Ovis aries: one gene and its partners. The main gene of each other region encodes a partner of the protein of the gene in region 2 in a complex. Links are inferred from orthologs where the notes say so. Each region holds a gene or a part of one and is shown on either strand. Other genes may lie near its edges.

Region 1 (8,114 bases), on a different chromosome or scaffold from region 2:
CCCTCATTGCATACAAGTCTGGGTTGACTTCCTTTGCTGTCTTCATCCCCAGGGCCTTGGCGATCATCAGGGCTTTATGGGGCCCATGGGCTTCCAGGAACTGGTAGATCTCTTTCTCTGGGAGGTGGGAGGCCGGTGGTTAAAGAGGACCCTGGAGGCTGGATCTACTCCCCTGCTTACCAGCCCTTGTGCCCATTTTCCTAATCTGTGAAATGGACACAATAATATTACTGCACCACGGAGGTCACTCTGGGGGTTGGGAATTCTCTCCAGGGGCTCCAGACAGTGCCTGCCCACACTAGGTGCACAGCAAATGCTAACCATTCATCAGACAAATGATTTCTCAGTCACTTAGCCTCTTTCCCCAAGAGGCAGAGCCTTGCCTCTGAATACTGTGTGCAGTGTGGGGACCTTTCAGTGGGTGGGGTGGTTGTTGCTGGACACGTGTTAGCTTCCTGAGTGACCGTGAGAGTCTGGGGGCAGAGGGACCCGGTGCTGAATGAAACCAGGATGCTTACGCTGTTCACTGAGCTCTGGGCCCGGCTTCTTTGGAACTGCAACTGCATCTTGCTGGGGCCTCTCCACTGGAGAAAGAAAGATGGTCAGGGGTGAAGGAACGGGAGAGGGGACGTGGATTCTGCCAGACAAAGGCGGGCTGCTCTGTAGAGGACCCAGTATGTGGATCTCCAAACTCAGATTCTAGAGTTAAAGGAACTTAGCTTCAAATCCTGCCCCACCCACTTCTGGGCTTCCCTGGTGGCTCAGACTGTAAATATGGGAGTCCTGGGTCCAATCCCTAGGTTGGGGAGATCCCCTCGAGAAGGGAACAGCTACGTACTCCAATATTCTTGCCTGGAGAATTCCATGGACAGAGGAGCCTGGTGGGCTACAGTCCATGGTGTCGCAAAGAGTTGGACATGACTGAGTGACTAACACCTTCACTTTCAGCCCCCCTCCCCCAACCCTGGTCCTGCAACGGCTTTTTGTAAGTACCTGACACATGTCAGCTGTTTAGGGCCATGGGCTGCAGAACCAGAGAAGCAGATCTCATGCGATGCTCAATTATTATTGTGTCATTGGTCATGTCATAATCATCATTATTAAAGTTTTGCTGAGCATCTACTACGTGCTGGCATGGGCTTAGCCATTTGCATCAAATCCTCTCACCTCCATTGGCCAGAGAAAGAAATCAGGATGCAGTCAGAAGACAGCATGCACCCTCAAGGGCAGAGCCCGTACTTGAACCCAGGTCCAAATCTGGGCTTGGTCGCTACCAGGACCGCTCATGCTGGGTCCCGCACCCCCACCTCTCCCACCCGCGGTGACAGGTTACCCCGCTCTGTGGGAACCATTTCTTTGGTCCCGCTGTCGCCCAAGCACCACATTGCAGGGCCTGCGAGCATGACTCCTTTTGACTCCTGCTTCATCTTGTGGAGGAGCTGGTTGAGCTTCTTCTTGGGCACTTGCAATTTCTTTAACAGTTGGGTGGTCTTCACAGGGGAGCCAGCATCCCTCAACACCTCCAGAATTCTCTGCTCAAGGTCTGGGAGAGGGAGACAGGGGCAGAGACAGAACTGAGGTCCCCACGACCCAGCCTGGGCCGTCAGGCGCCCCCCAGAGAGGGATCTAGGGCAGACGGAGGAACAGAGGTTAACGTAGACACCCATCAGTGTCTCCTTGTCTTCAGGGAGGGGCGCGTGGGCTGCTCAGAAGTGACCTGGGCAGGACAGTCTGGTGGCCAGAGGAGCTGCCAGGCCTTCCGAGTGTCCCCTGCCTGTGTGAGCACTGGAGGACAGATGAGAACAGTCAGCCCTCAGGTGTCCTCAGAGCAGAAGAGAGTGGAGGCGGCAGGATGCAGGAGGGTAAGGGCGGAGCAGAGGAGCCAGGGAAGTAAGGCCTGTCCCTGGTGCCTTCTATCCCCCATCCACCCCGCCCTGTGGAATCTGCTCCTCGGGCTCACCATCCACGGGGGGGTTTCACCGTTCATCCCCCCCAGAAGCCCAGCCGGCGTCCAGAAACAGAGCTTTCACCCTGCTGCCCAACCATGGAGTCCTGGTGGTGCCGCTCCAGACTCTCTCAACCCCTTCTCCTTTCCTCTGCCTCCACTCCCCACTCCTTGTCAGCATCCCCTCGATGACAGAAGTTCCACCAACTCCAGCTTCCCTCCAGTCCACCCTCCTCTTGGCTGGCAGAACCCGTTCTGCCAGCCTCATCTTTACCCACCCTCTACTGCCCTTCAAGTGCCAACCTGTTTGAATTCCTTTCAGCCATACTCACCCCTGGGCCTTTGCACATGCCATTCCCTTTGCCAGGCATGCTCTTCCCCCCATTTCCACCTGTCCAGTGTGAGTTCTCACTCAGACTCCAATGCTGGAAGGCTGTCCTGAGTGCCCTGAGCAGGTGGGATGCTGGTCCTGTGTGGGTCCCCTGCAGAGTGTCCCCAGGGATCCGCTGCTGTGACTGCCAGGTTCACTGTAGTGGTTCTGTGTCTAGCCATGGGCCAGGCATGCAGTAGGGTCTCACGAACTATTAACAGCATTTGAATGGAGGAGGGACTGGATGAAAGAGTGAGTGTCCACTCCTGGGTAGATGTGTGCTCAGATGGCCTGGGCAGGGGATGGGCGCTCCTCCAAGGCCTCTGTTTCCGCCTCCCCTCTGCCAGAGTTAATGGTCCTAAGCAGGATGCCTCTAGGCTCAAAGAGGAACTTTCCAAATAGCCTCTACTCCTCGCAGGCAGGCTCCCATAAACCCAAGCCGGCTGCCCTGTGGGGAGTGAGAGAACTGGTGGGCGCAGAGCCAGCAGTGCATGGCGCTGGGAGAGAAAGTGTCTGCCCCTGAGAACACCATGGGAATGCAAAGCAGGGCCTTTCTTGGGAAGGCCAAGTTACCTTCCCAGGGCAGCAGCCCAACCCTTTGACTTCTGGGTTCTTGCTGGATTCTGAGTGGGCAGCACTAGGGGATGACCTGTTTGCCAGCTCTGCGCTGGGCACTGTGGCTTGCTCTTGTGGGCGGAAGGTTTGCTTTCTTCTGGGGGCAGGTGATGTGCATTACAACCCCTGGGGTCACCCAGCCTGAATTTCACTCACTAAACACTACCCCCGAGACTGTCATACCCGTCCCACCCACTGATGCTTTGCCTAGCCTTGAAAAGAGTTTTGATTCCTGAAAAACCTGCTCCTGGGTGAGCCTCTCTCTCTTCCTCCTCCTGCAGTCCCCTGACCCCAAAGAGGAAATGGGGTCCATGCAGTGAAGGCTGGGCTTGCCTCCCCCACTGAGTCTTCTGGCTGCTGAACCAGAAATTGCAAAATGGGATGAGGTATAAATGATACATCAGTTAAAAGGAAAACCTGCTGGGGAACAAGTTAAATTCAGTTACCCAGTGCCCCTGACAAGTCTCCTTGGGAAAATACAACAGGAACCTGGGAACCCACCCTGGGATTCTGGGCCACTCCCAGTTAACCCCCCTCCCTGACACAGCATATTTTCCTGGGTTTGAGCCAAAATTCTGCCACCTATCAGCTGTGTGACCTCCATTTCCCCATCTTTGAAATGGTGAGATTCATGACTACTTCAGATCATGGTGAGGTTCAGATAGTTACTGATCACAGAACAAAGACAGACAAAAAGCACCTCAGCCCCCAGCCCACACCCTTTCGGTGGGGACCCTAGGAATCAGCTCTGTTCAGTGCCAGTTAAGTTTCGTGTGCGCCATTCAATAAAAGAACAGCAGCAGGAGGAAAGCCACATACAAGCAAAGCAACTTCCCTCCTTCCTCAAAACGAAAGTGAAGGCGGGTGTTCAGGCCCCACGCTCAGCTGTGGTCGCCTGAGTCATTTCACCTGTGCTGCCTGTGATCTCGGGAGTGAGGTGGGAACCTCAGCGGGCTTCCCCTGAGGGTTCCTGCAAAACGCACACGGATTGAACCCGATGCAATGCTCTCTCCCTCTCTTGTTACGGTGGTGCCTTCAGGTATTAGCCTATCATGGTTGTCATCTGAACCAAGAAAAGGAACCAGAAGAAAAGTTAAGTCCAGCCCAGGCACTCCCGCGGGTCCTTAGAAGGAAAAAAGTACCTGTGTCTCCTGGGTCAGCAGGGACCTCGGCCATGCTGGCAGCAGCTGCAGGAAGCCTGGGAGACTTGGAGTCAGCAGCAGGCTCTGACCCTGGGGCCTGCATAAGGTGGGTCCGGTCAAGGCTGTGTGTACTCTTGTGGGCCAGGCTGGTGCTTCTAGCAGCTGTGAAGACACTCCAGCTTCATCCGGACAGCTGTCAGCTGTCAGCTGTTCACACCCCGGAAATGAGGCCCTAGGCAGCCAACCTGATCAGTTTCTGGAGAAAATGAAAATGAAACTCTTATGTGTGGTTTTTGAGAGAAACAAAATCGAAAGCTGAATTGAGCAAGACACAGTTAGGCCTTCTACTAGATATTGGTAGGGAGCTGCTGAGATGGAGGAGACCAGAGCTTCTTCTAGGGCTGGGGGGATTTCCCACCACTGTCCACCTTGACTCCCCCAGCCACAGGCCAAGATACCTGGGTGGGTGAGTGGCTGAGCGCTTGTGATCATCAAAACCACATATGTGTGTGCATATCAAACCAACGACAGTGTTGGTGTACGGCAGAGACCACAACATTAAAAAGCAATTATCCTCTAATTAAAAAAAAAAAGGAGGACTGTTTAATGAGTACTTACTATGTACTTTCCAACCTCATGTGCCCCTGACTCATCTACAGGTTAGGATCTAGTTAGGGTCTCTTTTCTCAGGAAACTGAGGCTCGGGTCAATGAGGCCACTTGTCCAAGATCACAGAGATGCTCAGGTTCTAACTCAGCCCCACCATTTACTGGCTGTGGGACCTTGGACAGATTATTTTACCTATTTATGTCTTAGTTATCCCATCTATGAAATGAGCTAATAAAAGGAGTGACCTCAAGAGGTGGTGGCGAGGACTAAAAGGGTTAATTCAGGCACCTCTACAGCCATGAGCATAGCTGGGCACCCACTGACCTGGTTCTGGAAAAAAAGACCCATCGCTTCTGAAAATTCTTACAGGGGCCATTGACCTCCCCAAACAGTTCAGAGACCCTGCTCAGTCCAGGTGACGGAAGGGGAAACTGAGGCCAACAGAGGTGAAGGGCTTTGTGCAAGGCAGCCCAGAGGGTCAAGGGCTCAGGGTCTCAGCTGAGGCCAAGGAGTAGGTGCCAGTCCCGGGCTCCCAGGGGAACACCATCCGCAGCATTTCTGCAAAGGGAAGCACTTGGGAATAAGTACAGCCATGGAAAGGGCCCCGAAGGCTTATCTCAAAGTTATCTTTGTGTTCCTGAGTCCAAGTTCTCCCGGCTCACTGCACAACAGGCCAACAAATCAGAGATGAGGTGTTGAGGCAAGAAATACAACTTTATTTGGAGAGCCAGCTGACCGAGAAGATGGCATACTATTGTCTTAAAATAACCATCTTATGGGGTCTGGATGCCAGGTTCTTTCACAGATCAGAGGTGGAGGGAGATGAGGAAACAAAGTAAAAAGGCCATTAATCTTGCGAACATCTCAAATGGCGAGCCTCAGGCAGGGGATGTGTTCATTTCTTCCTTCCTGCCATCTACAGGTGGGCAGGGTTCTGAACAAAGGCACTCTAGTTTAGCAGTCAGGCAGAGGGGGCAGGATTCTGAGGCAGACCATTATGGGTGATTATAATAACAAAAGCAACAGAGAGCAAATTAGAAGGAACGCATGTAAGAATTAAAGATATTAAAATTTAAAAAATAAAAAAACTAAAATAAATAAATAAAAATAAAAATAAAAAAAAGAAACCGTTCCAACATGGAGCCAGACTTGGTTTATCCCTGTAACATTTGCAGAACAAGCAAGAAAAATCCCGATGCCCTGTCCACTCTCAGACCAAGTAAGTCCCCATCTTGGGAGGCAGGGCTGGAAGTCCTAGAGGACTTCACTTGAACCAGAGGTGAAGTGTTGGACAACTCAATAAAAATAGGAAGCCGCAACGATATTTGTGCTCCTTTTTAATGTAAAACAGAAGAAACGTGTGTCTCTATGTGCGTTGACAACGTTAATTTTAAATGAGGATTAATTGGGTGTATTGGGAGAGATTGTCAGGTGTCTTCTGAGCTCAGGCTCAGGCTGAGTCACTGTGGGCGGCTGGGAGGTGCCACGCCAGGACCGACCACTAGGTGGCGCCCGCTCACCAACCTGAGTCCAGGCTCCCCTTGCCCAGTTCCTCTGATTTAGCGGGGGTGGCTCTCACTTGTCCCCCATCCTAGGATAACCCCAACTCCATCTGACCATATTCTGGCTTCTCAGCCATGTTGACCTTAGTGTGGACACTCCGACTTGGGCCTAGACCTGGTTACCTGGTGGATTTGCAGGTCACACTAGAGTCCAATCTGAGGGTCAGCTGCTTCTGGTTTGTGTCTGTATGCACACGTTGGGAGGGCTCTGTTCCCCATCACCCACCTCTGAGCTGCAACCCTTCTTCTCCCTAACAGTGTGCCACTTCCTCTCTGAGCTTTGTTTTAATTATGAAACAGAAATAACAGATAAGAAAAAGCATGTTTATCTGTCACTTAGTAGGTGTTTACAAAATTTGCTTCATTTGGAAAATGCCACGTGACTGATGGATCTCCATAACATAACTTTAGACATTGTGCTGTGCTTAGTTGCTCAGTCGTGTCTGACTCTTTGCGACCCAAAGGACTGTAGGCTGCCAGGCTCCTCTGTCCGTGGAATTCTCCAGGCAAGAATCCTGGAGTGAGTTGCCATGCCCCCCTTCAGGGGATCTTCCCAACCCAGGGATCAAACTCAGGTATCCTGAATTGCAGGCAGATTCTTTACTGTCTGAGCCACCAGGGAAGCCCAAGAATACTGGAGTGGGTGACTTATCCCTTCTCCACAGGATCTTTCTGACCCAGGAATTGAACCAGGGTCTCTTGCATTGTAGGCAGATTCTTTATGAGCTGAGATGCCAGGAGAGCCCAAGATTAGACACTAGGCAAAAAAAAAAAAAAAAAAAAAGCAAGTGAGAAAGAGGAAGTAAAAAACACAATTTAATGTGGATGGGTTCCTCCTTCCTTAGCGTTCCATGGTACACCTGGAATGGAAACCATGAACCTGCTGTGAACATCTTACCACATTGAATGGGATTCTTACTTTTAAAGTTTTAATTAATTTGCATTTCCTCTTCTCTACTTAAGAGAATTTCAAGGTAATTTTGACTATAAGGATGGTCTTTCACCGAAATATCAGTGACTCACACTATACAGAAACTTCTTTCTTTCTCCTGTAACAGTCTGGTGGGTAGCCCAACACCATAGTGTTGAGGCCCAGGCCCCTTCTATTATGTTGCTTTGCCATTTGTGGGCTTTATGTTCTAAGATGGCTGCTCAAGCTCCAGCCATCACAACTCCATTCCTTACAGGAGGAAGGAAGCAAGGGAAGAAGACTAAGTGTCTCTCCTTTAAGAACACTCATGAATTGCACAGACATTCCCCTGACATCCCTCAGTCTCAGAGCCCAGGAGGGAGGCTGGGAAAGAAGGTCTTTATTCTGGGCTATCATGCTACCTGGCTAAAACTGGGGGATTGATTAACTTCCAAATAGGGGATAAGATATTAGAAGATACTTAGCTGTCCCTGCCATTTTGAAGCTGTTTTCACCCCAAGAAAGGAGCAAGAAGCTCCTCTATGCTTTGAAATATATCTGTTCAGCGGAGCTTCTGTATTGAGCAGGTCTGAGGCTGAGTTCACAGGTACTTCCTACACTCTCAGAGACTCCTGTCCAGTGTGGAAGACAAAAGTGGGGAGAGGATGCTAGGGGTTCCCTACTCTGCTTGGGCAGGACCTCAAAGGCCGCAGGAGTTTCAAAATGGTGCCACTGCCTGCTGGAGCCCAGGTCCCTTTTTGCCTTGAAAAGCACACTCCTTTTTCATTGCTTGTGTTTTTCTGGAAACTATTAGAATTCTCCGCCCCAACCAGATGATAATTACATGTTACTGATCTTGAGTCTTTAAATTTCTCTCTCTTTCTCCCTTTTAAAAGAGAGATATTTTTGCTGCACATTGTGTTGGCAAAATGCAGTCTCCTTTCTACCAGGCAGCCTGAAT
Region 2 (6,136 bases):
GTAATTTCCGTGGACGTGCTTTGTAACTTATTTATGTGTGCTGAGGCCATAATTAGAATATCTAATTCATGGGTTTGCTATGAAAGTGAAATTAGTCAACACAAACAAAGGGCTTATACACTGTCTGGCACATGGTAAGATAGAAAAGTGTTAAACACATCATCATCGTCAATATGGCCACCCGGACCCAGGAGCCCATCAGGTCCTCGTCAGAAGGATTCCGTAAAGGACAGAAGACTATGCCCTCAGCTGCACTTGCATAATAAAAATTAGAGGGCTTTCTCTTATGGGATTCCACTATACAGCCTCATAACATTAATCCCAAAACACAACCTGGGGGAAACAGTGCGATTTAAGAACCCAGCTTTCTAATCCACCCCAGGACTGGCATTCTCTTTTTTTAATCAAGGGCCTGAGAGCAAGCGTTTCTGGCTCCGCTGGCCCTGCCGTCTCTGTTGCAGCCGCTCAGCTGACACTGCCTCCATGTGGGCTTCCCTGGTCGCTCAGATGGTACAGAATCCTCCCACAGTGGGAGACGTGGGCTGGAGCCCTGGGGTGGGGAGATCCCCTGGACGACCACTCCAGTCTTCTTCCCTGGAGAATCCCCATGGACAGGGGAGCCTGGTGGGCTGCAGTCCTGGGGCCACAGAGTCGGATGCGACTGAGCAGAGCACGTGGCGCAGCTGACCCCCAGCACGCCAGCAGCCCCAGGCAGTAGGTGCACGGATGGGTGTGGCCACATTCTAATAGAACTTTGTGTGGCTGAGAGGTTAAAGCGTCTGCCTGCAATGCGGGAGACCTGGGTTTGATCCCTGGATCGGGAAGATCCCCTGGAGAAGGAGATGGCAACCCACTCCAATATTCTTGCCTGGAGAATCTCATGGGCGGAGGAGTCTGGACAGAGCCAGGCTACAGTCCACCGGGTCCCAAAGAGTCGGACATGACTGAGCGACTTCACTTTCACTTTCTTTCACTTTACAAAACGAGCAGCGGGCCACGTGTGGCTCACAGGCCATAGGTGGCCAAAGTGAAAGTGAAGTCGCTCAGTCGTGTGAGACTCTGCGACCCCATGGACTGTAGCCTACCAGGCTCCTCCGTCCATGGGATTTTCCAGGCAAGAATACTGGAGTGGTTGCCCCATCTAACCCTCTCAAAGCCAGTCTTTAATTCACTAGAGCAGAGGTTCCTAAGGTCTGGGCTGACAGGGTGCCTTTGAGAACCTGCTGGAGCCCAGGGCCCCTCTCCTGGTGAAGCATTGGCAGACTCTGGCCGGGAGGCTGACATCTGGTGATGGTCAGAGCTGCACTGTGGGAGCCGAGGAAAGATGGGCGTTCTGCCGGGGGGGACGAGGTGTTTCTATTATTCCGCTTACTGAACATCACGGAATATGGCTTGTTTGTGGTGATTTTATACTTCTCTTTGCTTCATTTTATTATTTTTACGAAGGCCTGAGAGGAAGGAACCAGTAGGGAGAGAGAGGTTACGGCTCTAGGAGAAAGGAGGACTGAGTGGGGCAGGGGAGGGATGAGCCCAGAAATGCCGCACCGGTGAAAAGACAGCGCAGCCAGAGTTCCCGCCGGTGGCCTCCGTGTCCGGGACCAAGTGAGAGGAACACGCACGGCTGGCCGACGGTTTCCTGAGTTGAGTGACCTTAACTCTGGCCAGATGGAAGCAGAACAAGGCCCAAAAGGAACAAGAATGGTGTTTTCCCCCTTGACGTCAGGAAGGTGTAAACAGGGGCTGTGGTCAGCTGGTCCGGAACAGCCTAGCGGCCAAGGGGGCAGCTCCCAGGAGGAAGCCGGTCCTCGCGTGGGCTGGTAGACAGGCGAGGAGCGTCCGGGGAGCCGCAGCCAGACCATGGGGGAGCTACCTCTTTTACTGACTCCTGGGACTCTGTACTTTATGCCGGTGTTTGAAGCCAGAGTGTTCACGTGGCCACAGCTCAATGCCTTCTCTTTTCTGTTCGGCAGATACTACTACTAGTCTGACTGACAAACACCTGGACCCGGTCAGGGAGAATCTGGGAAGACACTGGAAGAACTGCGCCCGTAAGCTGGGCTTCTCTGAATCTCAGATCGATGAAATCGACCACGACTACGAGCGAGATGGACTGAAAGAAAAGGTTTACCAGATGCTCCAAAAGTGGCTGATGCGGGAAGGCAGCAAGGGGGCCACCGTGGGGAAGCTGGCCTTTGCGCTGTACCTGTGCTCACGGATAGACCTGGTCAACTGCTTGATCCGCGTCAGCCAGAACTGAGCCCACAGGCGCTCCTGCGGCAGGGGCCGCCTTCCCCCCGGCGAAAGCCTGCTGCCTGCGGAGACTCGGACTTCTCTTCTCCCGGATACAGGGGGTGCTGCGTCTGTGTCAAAGTCACCTCCTACCTTTCACAGCTGGAGGATGGAAAAGGGAATCGCCAGCAAACCACCCACTGCGCCGGACGCAGGACCACCTATTTGTGGCCAAGGCCCAACCCAACAAGAAGCCTAATTGGGCTTCGAAAAGGAGAGAAGAGAGAGTTGAGAAAGATCATTTTTTTCTTTCATATGATCCCATAATCTTCATGCTATTCATTCTGGTTTCTGGGAGTTTTGATTGAGCAAGGAAGAAAAAGAAAAATTTGGAGTCTATAACCTAAATCAGCTTTCTAATTTTACACTGCCTTCTCCACATAAGCACCTGTTATAACCAAAGTGAAAAATAAAAGTTCTCATTCAGTCGGATAGCGGAAAACTGGAGGGGGAGATGGTCCCCAGCTGCAGGAGGGGGCGGGGTGATTCCTTTCCCAGATGCATCCCTTGTGACCACTGCTCTCTAAATTCCAAACAGGTTAACTAATCAGTGTCAGAGACAGCAGACAATATTTTAATGGACTAATTAAAATAAAATTTTGTACCTCAAATGGAAACCACTGAAATTATGTGTTTGTATAAACGAAACAGTGTGAGATTCTCCATGGTGACCCCCAGCTACTGGCAGGAGAGATCGGGGAGCTAGGGAGAAAAGAGCTTTCCTGACATTGCATTTTGACTTTCAAGATGAAACCCACGGGCCTGAGAGTAAGCACTGCAGTCTCGCACACCCAGCTCAGGGGCCTTTCCTTCAGCCCCCACGGTCTAACTACTGGACGAAGAGGGCCAAGTTTACATCTGAGGAGTTTCGATATTAGGCCCAAACGCCACAAAAACACTCGTCTTGGGCAGGAATCAACGAAGTGGGACGACACAGACTACAATACGAGAAACAAGGCAACCTGTTCTTGGCTCTGAGAAAGGTATGAAGACCCTGAGGTGGATACTCCTAAGTGAGACCCACTCCCAGACCGCAGACCCTGCTCAGCAGAGTCCCCACTTGTCGCTGTTGCGATAATTGCTGTGGGTCCAGACGATGAAGTTAAATCTTCAGCAACACGAAAAGGAGTTATTTCTCACAACACATTTTAAATAGTTTAAAAAGCTTTTCTAGTTACAGTAATCATGTAAATAGGTCTGTATACGGTCAAGGTGTTAGAAGCATCTGATTACAAAGACATCACTGAAGGACCAGTTCTATGGTATAATCCAGACGCAGGCCTCTGAAATCAAGCAGGCACAAGTTACACTCTGGCCGTGCACCTGGGGCCTGCTTCCTGACCTTTCCCGGCCTCAGTTGCCTCATCTATAAATAGGGTGCTAGGACATAAGGTAGGTGTGAGGATTAAAATAAGATGATGCATCTCATTTTAGGTGCCTGGCGCAAAAAAGTTATTTAAGATGTTTTTTGATGTAGACCATGTTTGAAGTCTTTATTGAATTTGTTACAATATTGCTTCTGTTTTTATGTTTTGGTGTAGAGGCATGTGGGATCCTATCTCTGCAATCACGGGTTGAACCCACACCCCTTTGCGTTGGAAGCCACAATCTTAACCACTGGACTACCAGGGAAGTCCCTAAAAATAGTATTTTTAGAATTAGTCTTTATTGGAGTCTAGTTGATTTATGCTTCATTAGTTTCAGGAGTACAGCAAAGTGACTGTTAAACATATATCCACTCTTTTTTATATTCTTTTATAGATTCTTTAGGTCATTATAGACTGTTGAGTTCCCTGTGTTATAAGTAGGTTTTTATTAGTTGACACCAGTAGCCTAAGACCTCAGCACTACCATTTTTGCTGACCAGTAGGATAACTGGTATTAAAATTGTACAATTATTTTTAACCCCTCATCATCTCTGACAAGAAATCCCAATCAACATTTCATAAAAAAAAATAAGGAAATGTTGACCCCACTTCAGATTCTGAAAGTCAAACAACAGTAGCTGGAACATTACATATTTCTCTTTCCTTCTGTGTAGGAAACTGATGTGACAGCTTTATGTTGAAAAGACATATATAGTATATAGTATAGTATTATAGTATATAATATATATATACTTTTATATAGTATTTAAATCAAACCTCCCTTTACTGCCAAGAAACTCCCACTGGTCAGGGAGGACACTGCTGGTAATACAACTTCTCATGGCTGTAACACCAGGAAGCACTGTGCATAGAGGATTGTTACAATGAAAGGGTCTCCAGGAGAAGTAATATAAGATGCAAGGAAGCTGCTGGAATCTCCAAATCAAGACAAGGCTAAACAGCAGCCACCGATGTGCGGTTGTTTTCTGTTAAGGGAGAGAGCAGCCACAATCAAAGGGTATTGTTTTTCATTTTCCCTGTGGAACCTTCAGCTGCAAATACTGTTTATACTCTCTGAAGACTGAACTGGTCGTAAGAAGCACACACACTCAACAGTGGTGAAATACACGTAAAATTTGCCATCTTAACCGTCTTTAAGTGTACAGCCCTAAACACATTCACACTGTTTCTGCCACGTTCCTGCAAAACTGAGGCTCTGCCCCCACTGGACACTAACCCTGCCTCCGGCCCAGCCCGACACCCACCTGCTTCCGAACACCTGGGCCGCACGGGCCTCACTGATCTGGACTCACACGCGGCTCCATTTACGACCAAGCCTGCGGTGCTCGCCGCTCCCCCGCCCCGGGGGCGGCCAGGGACCCCACGCGGACACAGCCCCCATCCTCCGCACCCGGCGCCCCCCTCTGCTCCCGCCACAGCGCCGAGAAGCGGGAGCCCCGGCCTGTCTGCGGGATTCATCGGAGGCTCCCTGCGGCTTAGCTCTCGAGACCCGGGCCCCCGCCCGCACCGCTCTCCAGCCGCCGCTGGCCCGCCCTGATCTCCGGGATCCCCGAGAGCAGGGGCCCTCACGGGTGTGGGCCGGTGTAAGAACGCACACAGCGAACCCCAGTCCCCTCCAGCTGTCAGGCTGGCGGCCCCGAGCCCACCCCTCCGCGAGGGCGAGACGCCGGCCCCCGTTAGGCTAGAGCTGACACTCAGGGGAGACGCTCTGTGCCGGTGCCCCGGGAACCGCGCACACAGGTGGGCGAGGGATCGCCTGGAAACCCCGCGCCCCAGCTCAGAGCCCAGACCGCCCCGCGCATGCGTGCTCGGGGCGGAAGGGGGCGAACTCGGGGCGGAAGGGGGCGAACTCGGGGCGGCCGATGGCCGGGCGCATGCGTGCTGGCGGCGGTGCGCGCTCACGGGCTCCGGGAGACGCGGCGCATGCGCCCTCCCCGGCCGTCATTTGCACCCACCATGGCGGCAACGCTGGGCGGTCGGGCCGCGCGGCGGCTGAGGCTCCTGCTCTCAGCGCTGAAGCCCGGGATCCAAGTCCCCCGGGCCGGACCCGCGGCCGCGTTCGGGTAATGGCGCCGCTCCCCTCCAGGGGCCCCCATAGCCTCGTCCGCGCGCTCGGGGCGGCGGGAAGGGGGCAGGGGCCAGGGGCCAGCGACCGGGCCGGGGCCGCGAGTGGGCCTTGCCCGTCAAGCCGTGACCCGGGCGCGGCCGCGGGGGCGCTGCGCTCGGCCTCGGTGGGGCGTCCGTGCGGACGGAGGCCAGGGAGGAGGCGCGCTTGAACCCCGGACCCTGGCTCCGGGGCCAGCCTGCGGTGTCCGCGCCGCGTCAGCCCTCGGAGCCGCGGGCTGGACCTCGAGCTGGGACGTGCGGGAGACCCACCCGGGGGACCGGGAGATGCGGGCTCCTGGGCCCGGCTCCCCGAGGGGTGCAGGCCGTGGAGACGCCCGAGAGTCTGCCTTTCT
Region 3 (8,097 bases), on a different chromosome or scaffold from region 2:
CCTCAGCATCCCACTTCTGGCCACACAGAGAAGCCACAGTGCCTCCCATCCCCTCGACGTCAGCTCCGCCATCTCTCATCCATGTCTCTTCCTGCCCCTGGCTGAAGCTTTAGCCTCCTTCATGGTGCCTTGGTTAAACGGCCACATTTATTGTCTCCTGGGGCCACAAAGACAGTTCAGGTGAAGGCCTGATGGCCCTCAGAGAAAGTCTAGGCTAGCAGCCTCAAGTCCAGGTGGCAGTTGAGAAGCTGCTTCAATTCTTGCTATTAGGCTTCAGGTTCTTTCGGTCGTTCTTTTGAACTTTTTCCTTGAGGGGTGCACTGAGGGACCCTATCCACGGCCCCAGGTGCCACGCCCTTTGTGGAGAAGGCTGTTCTTCCTTGCATAATTATGCGGTTGTTGTTTCCAATCTGTACTCCTTGGCAGTTAAAGATGGTAGGAAGCCATGGCCCTTTAAGAGAAAGAGTGAGGATGTTCGGAGGATTAAGTGGCTGGAGATTTATAGCAAGGAGGAGCATCAGGATGGAGGGGCAGCGACACCTCGTGTTCACCCTGGGGAAATGCAAGTGTGGGGTCTCAGCCTGCCTTCAGCCTTTCCCTTCGGGCTACACCTTCAGAATTTGGTTTGCAGAAACTAAAGAGGAGTGGCAACTAACATCTGAGACTTTGATGTTGTTCAATCACTCAGTCGTGTCAGACTCTTTGTGACCCAATGAACTGCATTATGCCAGGCTTCCCTGTCTTTCACTATCTCTGGGAGTCTGCTCAAACTCAAGTCCATTGAATAGATGATATCTGGGTCTTTTCTGATGGGCGACCCTCTGAACCGACACAGCGACAGTGGAATGGAATTTAGAGGTTCACAGCGCTGGTGGTGGGGCAAATCCAAATGCTCAGGAGCCAAGTTGGCTTTAGTGTGTGACCTCAGTGGCTGTCAGTTTCTTCATTTACAAAATGAGAAGGCTGGGGTAGGTGGGCTCTAGCGCTTTCTCATTCCCCCTCCCCAAGTACCCTGGATCTGTATTTGGTCTTGAGGAAGAAGCTAGTAGAATTGAACAGGGAAAGGCAGGAGTGGGGAATGGGTACCTGGTACCAGATTTGGTGCCGGCCCTCTGGGAGGGCAGTTGGTGTCACGTCTCTCAGCCCCCTGCAAACAACACAGGGCTCTCAGGCTCCCTGTCCTGGGGCCTGATCCCTTATGGCAGACACCCTCAGCCCCAAGTGTCCCCTGGCAAGGGGACAGGATTCACAGGAGTCCTAGCGCATCCTGTAATACTTCCAATGTCTCACCTGACTCCCTTGGGGTCCAGGACCTGGGATCCAAGCAGAGGTGGGCCTGGGATTCTGGGTTCTGAAAGGTAAAGTCTCTGGAGTCTGAAGAGGTCGGGCTGTTGAATCTGAAGATGTCTCTGCTGTCCAGGCAGGCGGAACCTGCTCTCTCGGGACCCTGATGTTCTCAAGAAGGTTTGTACATTTTTCAGGAACAGAGCTGGGGCGCCCCTCCAGATTCAGCTTCATCATTTCAGAGCCCAGGGAATCATGGCTTCCTGTGGTTTCCTTAGGACTGTCTATTTCTGTCCTTTCCAGGCCTGGGCTGTTGCTGCCCCTGTACTCAGAAAGGAACTCCTTCACCTGTAGGGATGGGGAGCTGGCTGGGCATGGAGGTGGGAGAGCCGGAGTAAACCCAAGGGAGTTGGGTCCATATCTGTTGCCTGGGAACTCAGGGATGGGGTGAGGAGAGAGGGGACCATGGTCAAAGCTTAGAGAAGGGTGGTCAGTGGGGGGTCACTGAGTGGCCAAGGGGGCCGCGTTTGCCATCCTGCCCAGCTCCTGGGTGGGGGTGAGCACTCACCACGTAGACTGCGGCATTCATCTTTCTACCAGGCGCATCTCCTTTATTTACCAGATCAAGGGCTTTCTGGGTGTTTATTCGGCATTCTAGAGAGAAGGCAGAGTGGGTGGCAGGTCAACAAAATTTCTTTTCCGGGGGAGAAGCCCCTGCTGACAAATTCAGGCCTGTCTCAGCTGCCAGCCGGATGGCCAGCACACCTTGGAAGGAAGGCCTCTTCTGGGGCTCATGGCTCCAGCACCTCTGCATCAGATCTGCCAGCTCTTCCAAGCCAGGAGTCTCAGGCCCAGACGGGGGCAGCTCAGTCAGCGGGGGCCGGATCCGCCTCTCACACACTGCTTCCCGCACCAACAACGTCTGGGGCACTACTAGGGTGGGGGTAGGGGTGTGAAGAGAAGGCATTCAGAGTATGAAGGCTACCCCATCACGGAAAGGGCTGGGGAGTGTAGGAGATGTGAGGAGGGAGTGGGGCAGTCTGAGCAGGTAAACAGGAGGAAGAGGGCTTGGGGTTGGGAGACTGGGGGCTTAGAGGAGGGGGGCACCTGAGGTGAAGGATCCCAGAGTCTGTCTTACTCTCAGCTTCTCTTCCGGCTAGCACTGCCCATGTTAGGATCCCAAAGCTGCAGTAGACACAAAGCTGAGGCCTGACTCAACTGCTGGCAAGATTCCTTTCCATACAGCATCCCTTTGAAGGACCCAGGCAGGTGTAGAAATTGGGGATATATGTTTGGATATATGTTTGGAGTGGGTGCCTTACCTGTAGACATCACTGGCCCTGGAGGCCTTCTGGTTTATATTAGCCAACAGTTCTGGGGCCAGGTAGGCTGGGGTGCACCCTGACTCCCAAGATCCTGCCCCTGACTGTGAGCCTCCCTGAAATGTGGACAGGCCAAAATCTGCCACCTGCAAAAGGGAGATAAGAACGAGGAGATAGGGGATGGAACAAAAGGGAGATAAGAAGGAGATAGGGAATGGGCAGGTCCAAGAAACTCCCAGAACCCTTTCCTTACTCCTCTCCCCCCAAAAGTGCAGGCCCAGCCTTGCAAAGACTGTATGGAGGGTTAGGGGAAGGGTAGGACCAGTGGGGCCCCTGGCTGGAGGCCTGGGTCCCCTCTCCATGGCACCAGGTTGAGGTCTGAGTCTCCTGGGATAGATCAGCTACGGGTCTTTGGAGGCCCGTGGGGTGGGCCTGTGGAACTGACCAGGGTAAGTCAGGTGATGGTCAGGTGATGGTCAAGGCCTCCATCACCTGGTGTGGCAGGGGCCAGAGCTCCAGGCTAGGCCTTGACACTTGGGCAGCCCTGTGTCCAGAGGGAGATGCTGAGGGTATTCAGGAGACAGGGCTGCAGCAGATGCGGGTCCTATGTCCCGTGGATGGGGTTGGAGCAGCTCTGGGGCAGGACCTGGTCCAGAAGATGGGCTGGGTGAGGGTGGGCTGACCTTGGCGTGCAGCTCTGAGTCTAGCAGGACGTTGGAGGGCTTGAGGTCCCGGTGGAGAAGCACTGGGTTCTGGCTGTGCAGGTAGCACATCCCGAGCACCAGCTCCTGCAGCAGGCGGCAGAGGAGCGGCCAGGGCCGAGGGCAGTGGGGCTGTAGCAGCTCCGCCAGGGAGCCGTTCTCCATGAACGGAGTCACCAGAGCCGGCCCAGACACGTACTCCCACTCCAGCTTCTCGGTGACCCCCAGCAGGAGCAGCACATGCTTGTTATGCAGACTGGACATGGCCTTCACCTCCCTGGATATGGCCCTCCTGCTCTCAGGGGAGAGGTGCCGTCAGCTCTGCGCCCGAGCGACCCTCCCCGCCGCCCAGGCCCCGCCCCGCACAGCGGCCCCTCCTCCCCGGCCCAGCCTCCTGGACCAGACCCCACCTCGGGTCACTCACGAGTTCACGATCTTGACCGCCACTTCTACGCCCCAACTCCTGTGATGTGCCCGGAAGACAGAGCCAAATCCGCCCTTGCCTATTAACTCCGGGTTCTCCAGTTCCTCGATGGGCACCAGCGGGGCTGAGGCACCGCTGGGCCTGAGAGAGGGGGGCCACGTAACCAGCCGGCCGCGGGCCCAAGGCCTCCCTACTCCCCTCCGAGGCCCACCCCTCTAACCGCCCCCCGCGCCCACCTCCGTGACTCGGCTCAGCGCTGTCAGTTCGAGCCCCAGCCCCTCCCGTGAGACGCACTGTGCCCTGGTCTTGGCACGAGGCGCATCCATATCTCAGTCTCCACTCACCATAACGCAGAGCCAGACATCAGGCTGGAAGATGAGAGAAGCTTCTGGAAGTTGCGAGCCCCCACGGATGAAAGAGGGGTTGGGGGCGGGGAGAGGAATCAACCTCCAGGCTCCTTCACGGTTCCGCTTCCCGCTTCGCGGGGTTGTGCTCTCTGCCCGATCCACTTCCTTCTTTAATTGATGCCTCTACAGTCCCGCCCCGGGGGCGGGGAAGGGCACAGGGCAGGGTGCAGAACAGAAACTAGTGCTGCTCCCAAGGTGTCAGGTCAGGTCTGGTTGTCGCTGGGTATCCTCACCCTCCAGGAACCCGCAACCACCTCCTACCGCTGGCCTCTCTCCCTTCTTCCACAGGATTCCCAGCTCCAGCGCCAAGCTTGGGATACCGCGGCGGGGTTCGGGGAGCGGAGGGTTGGCGGGGGGCGGGGGGAGTGCGGGCGGTGGCGCTGAGTAGGATGTCATGGTCCTAGGACTCTGTTCTCCCACAGCTGCCCTAAGATCATAGTTAACACTTCTCTAAAGCTCACCACATGCCATTAGCTCACTTAATCCTCACATCAACCCAAGGGGATAGGTACTGCTTTTGTTACTTCTTTATAGGTGAGAAACCACTGAGCGTATAAGCACCTGGCCCAAGCTGACATGGAACTGACGTCAGAGCCTGGCTCTGAACCGTGAAGCTTTGCCGTTTTCACAAAGACGTCAGCTGGTGGGGAAGGTGACGGGGGAAGGTGTGGCTTGTCCACTGGGCTCTATTCTTTCCGAATACAGACCTCTCCCAGGGTGCTGTGGTCAGCTAGGTGAATTGGCCCACCAGAGAGTTGCTGATACTGTGGTGTACACGGCAGTGGAGACACCGCAGAGCCTCTCTGCCCTCTCTCCCCACCCTCCATTGCAAATTCTCTGGTTAATATTAATAAATCTTCCTGACAAACATGCTCTGGACAAGGGTCTTGGAGAACTCAGGAGCTTGGGGAGACTTAAGGATTCAGGGTTGACAAAAGGTGTTCATATTTTACCTGCCCAAGGCCTGACCATAGCTGAAGGTTATGGAATTAGATACGGCCAGCCTTAGGCACTCAGTCCTTCATGGGGAGACTCAACCCTGTGGGTCATGGGGCAAGACTCCCTGGAAGGTGCTCACCTTGTGGAACTTTCCATCCTGTCCAGTGGTCCATGGACTCCTCTAGCTGGAGCAAAAGTGGCCAGCAGTTAACTGTGGTTCCTCCAGAAACTGGAACTCCAGGATACACATCTTGAATTCTGATGGAGTCAGTGCATGCTATTTTTGACCTATTTAGGGAATTCTTAAATTGTAGTCTCTTTAAAAGCTGGTACAAGGTAGGTATCCAATAAATATTTGTTGAATTGGATTAATAAATGAACAACCCAAACTTTTTGAGGCTTCACTGAGATGCTAACCATCCCAGGTGGTGCTCCATAGTCAACAGAGAGGAGCTAGGAGGTTGGGTTTATTTCTGGTTTGGGGTCTCTTCACGTACCTGCGCAGTCGACAGAATTAATCTGAAGTCTTATGGTGATACGGTGGTATCTCACGGAATATAAAGGCAAGTCTGGAAGTTCCTCAAAAACGTCTAGTTCAGGACCTAAGAACCATCAGAGAGGACAGTCATTCCTTCCATGATTCTTTCTGAGCTCATGGTCTCAACACCTGGCCTCCGTTTGAGGAGAGTAGTCAGAAAGGAGTTAGAGCTACATTTAAAAACCTTTTACAGCTAGATTTCTTTAGACTGACATACGAACCTGAGAACTGGAAGAAGTTACTGTAAAGTGTAAGGTTGGGGATGGTGTCAGAACCTATAATAGTTTTTGACTCAAAATAAACCAACTTGGGCTTCCCTGATGGCTCAGTGGTAAAGAATCTGCCTATCCATATAGAAGACACAGATTCGATTTTTTGTCCAGGAAGATCCCACAAGCTGTGGGGCAACCAAGCCCGTGTGCCGCAACTACTGGGGCTGTGCTGTAGAGCCCCTGAGCTGCAGCTGCTGGAGCTTATGCACATTTGAGCCCATATTCCACAATAAGAAATGCCACTGCAATGAGAAGCCCTCGCATCTCAACTAGAGTCTTCCCTGCTCACTGCCACTGGAGTAAAAGCCCACACAGCTACAAAGACCTAGCTCAGCCAAAAATAAATAGACGTGCCCACTGAGTTTCCAGCAAATGTATGAAGAAAAAAGTCCATACTCAGGCACATCATCAAGAAATTTCAAAAAAATATAAAAAACAAACCAAGCATCTTTAAGAGAAGGAGGGGTAGGAAGAGGAGCCTGGAGTGAGTGCCTGAGAAGACCTCTGCTTTCTTCTTCCAGCAGTTGGGGAACTGGCAAGGCAGAGTTGATTCCTGGATTTTGAAGCTCTGGCCTTTTCTGAGGCCAGGGACACCTGACCCTGGTTGTCCCAGGCCTTTGGAGTCTATTTGGGTGTCTCTCATCCCTTCAGTTCTCTATAGCTGATTGTCTTCAGTGACCTTCAGCCCATCCTGTGTACCTGCTCTGATTCCGCATTTCTAGTTGCTGGGATGCAAGTGAGGGGCAGAGATTGTGGTCTCTCTTCTTGCATATTCTAGCCCTAATTCTCCTCTGTCGTTTGATTAAGAGATTTCAATTATAGAATAAATTGTATTAATTGAGGTGACAGTAAAAAAGATTATGGAGAATTTTTGTTTTCCTTAGTATTTGAATATTTTATATTAACAGGTATCACTTTTATAAACAGATAAAGAAAGAAAAGTGTTATGATGTATGCAAAGATTTAGCCAAAGTTTCAGGATATTCACGGAAATGTTGTTTAAAATAGCGAAAAAATAGAAACTTAAATACCCAATAATAGGAAAAAGATTGAATACATTATACATTGGAAGACTATGCAGCCATTAAAATGCTGTTCTAGACCTGTATTTATTGTACAACAGGGGTTTATTATATATCAAAGGAAAAAAATCAGGTTATAAAACAATATATACCATATAATCACATTTGTTTTGGTTTGCTTCAAAAATCCTCTTCCAGTAGTGTGACAGAGCTCATAGAAGCCTCCCATGGCAGAATACCTAAATGCTATATAAAGCACAACAAACATATTTTAAAAGTAACTTGGTGAGGTCCCGCGGAAATAAGGATAATCTCCCACATGCGTCCCCCTGAAGCAAACAAAATAATACAAAGCAAAAAGGAAATAGTAAATAAACAGAGAGGTCAACTAAGTAGAAACTTAGAACTTTGGGAACTGGGTAGGGGTAAGACAGTTTGGGGCAGAACCAGAGAGTAAAGAGCTAAATGTGAGACAACTCTACTCCCCCCAAAGCTTGGATCCTCAAGGGGTTACATTCTTAACAGAAAGGAAGAAGTCTGCCTGCTTGCAGAGAGAACCTACAAGCAACCTATCCAAAGTGCAGCACTAGAAGTTACCATTAATAAAAGGTTAGCTTCCATGTGAGATCTGCTAACATAGAGATTTGCGGTTGGAATTTTAACTTTTCCTTTTTTTAAGTAAACCATAAGCTTAAAACGTTAAATGGCCCCATGTTATTAATGCTCCTTGAAGTCTAACAGAAGCAAATAGAATTCTCCCTAGAGAAAAGCATCTTCAATTCAAACTTCTGGATTAAATTCAGCCAAATATAAACTCATCAAAAAATTACTGAATATAAATATGTAAGGATTGAAGTCACCACAGATGAGTATCAGCAGAAATGATAATCAACAGGCTTAAATCTTTAAGGGGTCCAGAAATTGGAACAATCAGATGAAGAATCTGAAGCTATTGGGAAGTGTTTAAAGAAACAGAAGATGGAATAGAGAACATAAACCAGGAATAAGAGATTATAATAATACCTGGAGATATGTAGAAAAAAATAAATTATCAAGAAATACAAATTTTTATGTAACCATTAAAATTAAAACTGCCATACAGACGATATAGCCGAAGAAAGTCCACTAAAAGATGGATCTGAGAAAATTAATCAGAATGCAGCAACAGAGACAAGCTGATAAAAAAAA

Evidence for each region. The genes of interacting proteins can lie anywhere in the genome.
Region 1: RIPK1 (region 2) and ZBP1 share a complex: the UniProt entries of both Homo sapiens proteins name them as parts of the AIM2 PANoptosome complex. The link is inferred for Ovis aries from reciprocal best matches to the Homo sapiens genes RIPK1 and ZBP1.
Region 3: RIPK1 (region 2) and RIPK3 share a complex: the UniProt entries of both Homo sapiens proteins name them as parts of the AIM2 PANoptosome complex. The link is inferred for Ovis aries from reciprocal best matches to the Homo sapiens genes RIPK1 and RIPK3.

The regions. Positions count from the first base shown.
Region 1 is NC_056066.1:58,223,839-58,231,952, reverse strand, and holds the start of ZBP1 (Z-DNA-binding protein 1), read right to left. Parts: upstream 4,230-8,114; 5' UTR 4,176-4,229; coding exon of another isoform or gene 4,073-4,175; exon of another isoform or gene 2,764-4,072; 5' UTR 1,668-2,763; coding exon 1,334-1,667; intron 585-1,333; coding exon 519-584; intron 118-518; coding exon 1-117.
Region 2 is NC_056073.1:49,669,446-49,675,581, reverse strand, and holds the end of RIPK1 (receptor-interacting serine/threonine-protein kinase 1), read left to right. Parts: intron 1-1,970; coding exon 1,971-2,257; 3' UTR 2,258-2,906; downstream 2,907-6,136. Other genes in the region: BPHL (valacyclovir hydrolase), read left to right, coding at 5,634-5,740. UniProt on the Homo sapiens protein: Serine-threonine kinase which is a key regulator of TNF-mediated apoptosis, necroptosis and inflammatory pathways.
Region 3 is NC_056060.1:20,645,625-20,653,721, reverse strand, and holds RIPK3 (receptor-interacting serine/threonine-protein kinase 3), read right to left. Parts: upstream 4,230-8,097; 5' UTR 4,096-4,229; coding exon 4,076-4,095; intron 3,873-4,075; coding exon 3,732-3,872; intron 3,600-3,731; coding exon 3,290-3,599; intron 3,253-3,289; exon of another isoform or gene 2,969-3,252; coding exon of another isoform or gene 2,753-2,968; coding exon 2,607-2,752; intron 2,470-2,606; coding exon 2,423-2,469; intron 2,218-2,422; coding exon 2,050-2,217; intron 1,939-2,049; coding exon 1,853-1,938; intron 1,633-1,852; coding exon 1,291-1,632; intron 1,148-1,290; coding exon 1,087-1,147; intron 452-1,086; coding exon 267-451; 3' UTR 119-266; downstream 1-118. UniProt on the Homo sapiens protein: Serine/threonine-protein kinase that activates necroptosis and apoptosis, two parallel forms of cell death. Necroptosis, a programmed cell death process in response to death-inducing TNF-alpha family members, is triggered by RIPK3 following activation by ZBP1.